2 linked regions of the Caenorhabditis elegans genome follow. The protein of the gene in region 2 purifies or fractionates together with the protein of the main gene of each other region. This does not show direct contact. Each region holds a gene or a part of one and is shown on either strand. Other genes may lie near its edges.

Region 1 (3,927 bases), on a different chromosome or scaffold from region 2:
CGGGCTGTCCCATTACAGTTTGATCTACAAAAAATGCGGGAAAATTCCCCCAATGTGACGTCAGCACGTTCTAAACCATGCAAATTCAGTTTAGAATTCCCGCATTTTTTGTAGATCTACGTAGATCAAACCAAAATGAGACACACTCTGACACCACGTGGCGCCCGATGAATTTTTATTTAGCCCCGTAAATCGACACTACAGTAGTGATTTAAAGAATTACTGTAGTTTTGGCGTTTTGCGCGTCAAATATGTTGTTCGAAACGCATTCTCGGAAATTTTTGATACGGTACCCGGTCTCGACACGACGACAAATTTTCGATAAATTTGAAAAAATGTGAACCTTTAAAGAGTACTGTAATTTTAATAAAAGCATCTAAATTTCAGAAAATCGTTATAAAAACTATGAACATTTTTCGAAAATCCGGCAGCCGGCAGCAACCGAAGCTACAGTACTCTTTAAAGGCGCACGAAATACGTTTCGGGACCCAAAAAATTCAAATTTATTTTGATATGGCTGAGGCTAGAAAAATATGTAGTTTGTAGTCTTTTTCCATTTTATTAAATACATTTTTTAAAGTTTTTTCTCACAAATAAAATCCTACTCATACGATTTTTAAAAAGTTTTTAAAAGCCGAGTTTTTATTTAATTAAGCTGACTACAAACTACAACATCTTTTAATTACTGTAGTTTGTAGCCGAAAAGTGCATTGCACTTTTTTTTGATTTCAGCATTATAATTATAAATTAGTATACTATAATAATAAGTACATATACATTGTCACCTGACATTTCCATATTCTTTTTCTTTTTAACCTCTCCTGCTCACACACTCTCTCATTTTCCCATTTCTCTTCCTGATGAATCGAATTAGTCACAGAGATGTCTAGAAATTTGGCGAAAAGAGCCGCTTGACTTTCCCTTTTTTGTTGCGAACCTTGAGTGAGGCTCAGGATTATTGTAGTTTGTAGTGTAAGCTTCACCAAAATTTTTACAAGCAACATGCTATTTACAAAATAAATTTAAATTTGGTTGAGGCTCCACACTACAAACTACAAATCTAGTTTAGCCTCAACCAACTAATTTGGTTGAGGCTCAGGATACTTGTAGTTTGTAGTTTCAGCCTCACCAAAATTTTTACAAGCTACATGCTATTTACAAAATAAATTTAAATTTGGTTGAGGCTCCACACTACAAACTACAAATCTAGTTTAGCCTCAACCAACTAATTTGGTTGAGGCTCAGGATACTTGTAGTTTGTAGTTTCAGCCTCACCAAAATTTTTACAAGCTACATGCTATTTACAAAATAAATTTAAATTTGGTTGAGGCTCCACACTACAAACTACAATTCTAGTTTAGCCTCAACCAAAGAAATTGGTTGAGGCTCAGGATTATTGTAGTTCGTAGTGTAAACCTCACCAAAATTTTTACAAGCTACATGCTATTTACAAAATAAATTTAAATTTGGTTGAGGCTTCACACTACAAACTACAATTCTAAGTTTAGCCTCAAACAACGAAATTGGTTGAGGCTCAGGATACTTGTAGTTTGTAGTTTCAGCCTCACTAAAATTTTTACAAGTTTTTACACTTTTTGTATTATACAAATTGGAAATTGGTTGAGGCTTCACACTACAAACTACAAATCTAGTTTAGCCTCAACCAACTAATTAGGTTGAGGCTCACGATTTTTGTAGTTTGTAGCCTGAGCCTCAACCAACTTTTAACACATGTTTTTGTCCGTTTTTCTCAATTTTTTTTGCTCTGAAAAATGATATTAATTAAGGAAGATGGGTGACTACGACTATCTCATCAAATTTCTCGCGCTCGGCGATTCGGGAGTCGGAAAAACGTCGTTTTTGGTGAGTTGTAGTTTGTAGTGTGTCAGCCTCAACCAACAATAATTTCAGCATCGTTACACGGATAACACGTTCACCGGACAATTCATTTCCACTGTTGGAATTGATTTTAAAGAGAAAAAAGTGGTCTACAAGAGTTCACGTGGCGGATTCGGTGGTCGTGGTCAACGAGTTTTACTTCAGTTATGGGACACTGCCGGACAAGAGAGGTAATCGCTATATTGTAGTTTGTAGTTTGTAGTTTGTAGTCTATGAGCCTTAACTGAACAAGAAAGAATTTAATTTTCTTTTTTTTTTTTGCGAAAAAAAAGTATTTTTTTTCCTATGTAGAATGTTTGATTGAGGCTCACACTACAAACTACAACTTTTCAAGCCTCAACCAAATTTTTATGTTGAGTGAGGCTGAGATAACCGTGTAGTTTGTAGTTTTATCTTACAATTCTTCACTCATTTTTCGTGGAAAATTTGAATTTCAACAAGATTTTCACGAGAAATTCGAATTTTTTAGTCTCTGAGTCGAAGTTTTCTCCGGAAACTTGAATTTTTCATCAAATTCCGCCACTTTTTGGATTAAAATTTGAAAAAAATGCAAAAATGTTGCATTTTCCGAGCTAATTTCGCGTTTTCGTCCACTACAAACTACAAAACTAGTTCAGCCTCTACCAAATACGTTGGTTGAGGCTCACACTACAAACTACACTTTTCAAGCCTCAACCAAAATTTAAAGTTGAGTGAGGCTAATTCTTCACTCATTTTTCGTTGAAAATAAGAATTCCAACCAGATTTTCACGAGAAAATCGAATTTTTTAGCAAAAAATGTGTAGTTTGTAGTCAAAATCTTGCAGATTCCGTTCTCTAACAACAGCGTTCTTCCGAGATGCAATGGGATTTATATTGATCTTCGATATTACAAATGAGCAATCATTTCTCAATATTCGAGACTGGCTATCACAATTGAAGGTATATTAGCGATTTTTTTTTCAGAAAATCTAAAAATTATTGATTTTTCTGAAAATTTTACTTTAAATTTGGCTGAAAAAGCTGAAAAAAAAACAATTTTTTTCAAAAAACCCCGAAAAATATTAAAATTTCCAGGTACATGCCTATTGCGAGCAACCTGACATTATCATATGCGGTAACAAAGCAGACCTCGAAAATCGGCGTCAAGTCAGTACCGCCCGTGCAAAGCAGCTGGCTGATCAATTGGGGTACGTGGCCGAATTTTTTCTCTTGTTTTTCTGCACGGCCACCACGTAATTTCAGGCTGCCGTACTTCGAGACGTCCGCCTGCACATCTACCAATGTGGAGAAATCTGTGGATTGTCTACTCGATTTGGTTATGCAAAGAATTCAACAATCTGTTGAGACGTCGTCTCTTCCGTTGTCAGGTATAGACTACAAAAACTACAAACTACAATAGATATTTGTACTCTATAGTCGTTGCCATTACCAAAAATAATAGTAACTACAAACTACAATTTCGGCGAAGCCTCAACCAAACTACAAAAATTGTTAAAATGATTGGTTGAGGCTACGTGAAAAGTGTAGTTTGTAGTCTCTTGTTTTTTTCACGCGAATTTTCTACTACAAACTACAATGTGTTTTGTAGTTTGTAGTGTGAGCCTCAACCACATTTTCACTACAAAACTAATTTTTTTTTCAGAATGCCGCGGAGTCAGCTTGGACGGAGACCCATCGGCCGCTTCTTCCTATTGTGCAAATTGCTGATTATCGATTTTAAGGTCTTCTAACAAAATGAAATAGATAGAATTTTATGATTTTGCATAATAATCCCTCGTTTTTTTTCCTTTTTTTCCTTAATTTTTAGTGATTTTTTCCCAATTAAATTTCTAAGCAGAGACTTTATTTATATATTTTTTCCAATTTTTCTTTTCTCTCAACACACACCCTGTCCTCATATCGTCTAAAGCTTTTTATTGATAAATTTGACGTTTTTCCTTTAAAAAAATTCCGCCTAAACTTATCGCCGATCTCTTTGTATCGATTTTGTAAAAAAAATTTTAATGAAAATAAATAATTTAAATTAATAACTTATTTGAAAAATGA
Region 2 (3,927 bases):
ATTTGATTCAATTCTTTCTTTTTTAAGATAATCTTGTCTATTTGGCTCAGAAAAAACGGCTGGCTCTTCTGACCCGAACGGAGCCCCCCATCTCACTTCATTTTCACATTCTTTCACTTGAAGACAAAGAGACATAGAGACACGGAAAAACAGAGGGGATAATTGAATTTCGCCAATTTTTCTCAAACCTATTCTTCGGCTGGCGGGGCTCATCTGATGTGGACACAATAACGTCATTTTAGACATTTTTCAGTTAAGCAAAAGTTAAATAAAAGTTTAATACAATCTTGAAAGGATTAAGACACAAAATTTCAAGTAGATAAAGTAATTGGGCTTTGAATCTCGTAAGATGTCGACGACAGAAAAAACCCGTACGACGTCGGCTGCTAATAAATTCCCATTATATTTATTTCAAACGTTTTCCCACTCATAAGTCACACTATTTGCTTCCGTGCATGTTTCTTGTTTCAAATTCAAATTAAAAATTCATGTAGAACCACTTTTCGGGAATTTTTTCTTCTTCCCTGGGTCTCTCTCGCCATTTCCTTTTTCGCTCAAATCGCAATTTATTCTCCAAAAACCGTGGGAACCTCTTCCAGGGTTTCCGGGTGAAGCGGGTAGAAAAGGAACACAAGCATCTTGGAGGCAAAGAAACCGGATTTCCACTATTTCTTTTTACATGTTAGCAAAAAAAAAAGAAGACGAATTTCCAGTCATGGTATGTCGAGACTTGTCGACTTTTTGGAAACTATTAATTTTCATGTCGAAAGGTTTTTGAGAGGAAGATGAATTATCTGTTTCTTTTTGTTTTTTGGCAAGGAGGGTGAGGATATTGGGGAATGTTTGTAAACAAAATCTCGAGCTTAAAATAAGAAAATGCGAGAGGAAAGGATAAAATTCAGGAAGTTTTCGAAAATTAGTAATTGAATTGAAATTTTGTGAGCTGACTTTCAATAGGGAATGTAAATATTTCTCTGTGGAAAGTTTAATTGGTTAGATGAGCTCGGGAGGGTACAAGTTTAAAATTTTCAGATATATGTGGACCGGCCTATACACCTCGGAGTCTTCGGAGTCCCAATATTTGCAATTAAAAACATACATCGGCTTTTTCCTAATGGGTCTAGCCACGGTTCGCGGAAAAACTCTTAGAAAATAAAAACACAATAATCGTCAAAAGACATTTCTTTTTAAAAAGTGTTTTTTTTTTCAAAATCCACCTGAATTCAGAATGTAGAGTTCAAGAATTTGTTTCCTATTTCAATAGAAATCATTTTCGAATGAGGAAGAAAAAATATTGCGCCATTTTCGATATTAATCTCTTAATCTTGGGTTCAGCGAAGGATTCTACGAGCATCAGAATGGGTTTTCTGATAGTAATTTTTAGTTCAATGGGAAATTCAAAAAAAAAGTCGAAGAAAACAAACAATTACCATAAGAAGTTGGGTCAAGAGGAGATAATGTTGCTGCTTGAGCCGTACAACAACACAGCTTAAGCTTTCGAGATTTGCTCCGTGAGCCCTCGGGTGATCCGAGAAGAGCATCTGTAGTCGATGTAGTGGTTGCAGCGTCTTCAATGGACTTTTCGGTTATAAGAATCGGCGGATTCCCCTTCGGAGTCTTTTCCGGTTTCTTCTTTTTCTGTTTACAGTGTCGAAGTTTCGTTGATTTGGTCATTATTGCATTTGGTGGTTATGACTGACGTTCTCTTCATCAGAATATTTCAGAAATAGAAGAGATTTAGACGATAGAGGAGAGAAATCAGCTGTAGAAATAACAACACCTGCCCCAGTGGTTGGCAAACTGCTCCGAACAAAAATAATCAGAAAACCGAGCGCAAATTCGAATTTTTTCGAGCAACTTTAGCAGCCCTCTACACTCCACATACGGAGAGTCAGTCCAACACAACAGCAAGTCTTCTAGATTGTGTGATGGGGCGTGGTGGAAGCCCCTATGGCTCCGCCCATTGGAAGAATAAGAGACGCAGAACGCATGCTCCTGGCGCCCGATCGCCACGTCTCTATGAACGAGGGTGTATTCGGATTAATTATTCGAGGAGTAGAAGAAAAGATGATGATGAAGGACACAAAAATGAAACAGAGAGAAAAAAGAGTTTGGTGTACTAGGAAAAAGTCTACGTTTGTTTCCTTGGAGACATTTCAGATAATGTATCTGGATACTGATTTCACACTTTTTGTTTTCGATGGATACTACTAGGAAGTCAAATTTATTATTGCATTTAATTTTTTAAGACTCTGAATTCCTGTAGATCTCTTGATAACAAACAAGATTCAAAAATTGGTGTCTAGGGGGAACGTATCACGCCCGTCCGCCTGTCGCCCGGAAAGCGCCTCCGAAAATAGCAATGAATTGTCTTTTTCAAGTATCTGCAAAGATATGGTAATCATTTAGGATTGGTGACGCAAACATGAAATGATCTCTCGTCATCTTGAAGTTAGCAGCTGCTAAAACACACATAATCAGCTACTTTTTGGGATTTTAAAAAAATCATTTAATAGGGATCTCATTTACAAATTTTCTTAACATGCAAAGTTTATTAATTTTCGGAAAGCATCCTAGAAAAATGTTTACTCGAAAAAAAATTGGTTGATATTTTCAAGTTTGCCAAACCTTGAAATATAAAAAATTAAATTTTTCTGAATTACTGTAACTACAAGCTTGTCAAAAAGAATTTTGATATATTTTATCTGATTATTGAGATCTACGTCTTGTCAGATTCCAGGTACAAACTTCACATTAAAAACTTTTCAACTCGAGCAGTTGAGCATCTTCGTTTTCACTAAAAATTGACGACTTAATGTGACAACTGAACTAAAAAACAAATAAAAAAGTTGAACAGCAGACACGTGACTTTCGAATTTACTTTGGAAACAAAATATGACGTTCCACAGGGCTAAGCAGTGCAAAAGAAGTGAAACCATCTCAATGTGGTAGCACATGAATGCATGCCGGAACCGAATGGCATATAAAACATTTTTTTACGTTTTTGTGCTCCAAGAGCATCATCATCATCTTTTTCTTTTTTGGGATAACCCGACTGGGATTTTTGAAGAATGTTGAACAACTCTCTCATTAATAAAACTTAGTTGTTCAAAAATAATTTTTTTGATATTGGGTAGATCGTCAACAATACATGTACATATACTTTTATGAATAATTCCTTGTCTATGAGAATATTAAAAACTTCTCATTGACCTTTTCGAGCGAACCTACTAGGCAAATGTGAGAAATGAAGAAAAAACAACATGAAAAACAAGGCTGTTGATCTGTCCCCAATCAGCGAGTAATCTTCTAGAGTTAATTTTTAAAATATTGTATATATATATATATATACTTTGCATTATATATATATACTCGGAGTATATATATATATATATATATACTCGGCATTATATATAAATTCAGTGTTCAAGGTGTAGTGAACAAATAGGTACACAAAATTCATATTGAAAACAAAACGCCGGTTTTATTGAGCAACAGAAAAAGGTGCTGGTGAACTAAAAATGTTTGACTGTTTCGATTTCTGGCTCTCGAACTACCTGAAATTAGATTTTTCGGTTGGAAAAAAACAAAAGGCCTGCTCTTACAACATTTTCAACGGCTCCTATTAGAATTAATACTGTTTTTTTTCTTTTTATAGACTGATTCTATCGATAATTCAGACAACTTCAGTTGATCTGACTCTGTTTAAGTAATAATATATTCAAACACAAGAATTAAATTTGAAAAATGAAGTTTTTCCACATCTCCTCGCGAGCGTAAATAAATTAATAAATAAATTAATTAAATACATTTTCCTAATATTTAAATTCTAAGAAATTTAAATAAATAAATATTAATCAAGTGTCTAATGGTTTGTCTTGTTGAATTTGAACATTTTAATAAATTTAATTATAAGAATCTTGTACA

The links.
Region 1: the proteins of rbf-1 (region 2) and aex-6 purify together in Caenorhabditis elegans (affinity purification with western blotting, with the first as the bait; one study listed by BioGRID). This does not show direct contact.

What each region holds. Positions count from the first base shown.
Region 1 is NC_003279.8:13,543,049-13,546,975, reverse strand, and holds the start of aex-6 (small monomeric GTPase), read left to right. Parts: upstream 1-1,787; 5' UTR 1,788-1,791; coding exon 1,792-1,863; intron 1,864-1,911; coding exon 1,912-2,069; intron 2,070-2,705; coding exon 2,706-2,820; intron 2,821-2,955; coding exon 2,956-3,068; intron 3,069-3,123; coding exon 3,124-3,248; intron 3,249-3,523; coding exon 3,524-3,588; 3' UTR 3,589-3,927.
Region 2 is NC_003281.10:6,673,735-6,677,661, reverse strand, and holds the start of rbf-1 (Rabphilin-1), read right to left. Parts: upstream 1,903-3,927; 5' UTR 1,675-1,902; coding exon 1,431-1,674; intron 1-1,430. UniProt on the Caenorhabditis elegans protein: Rab-3 effector.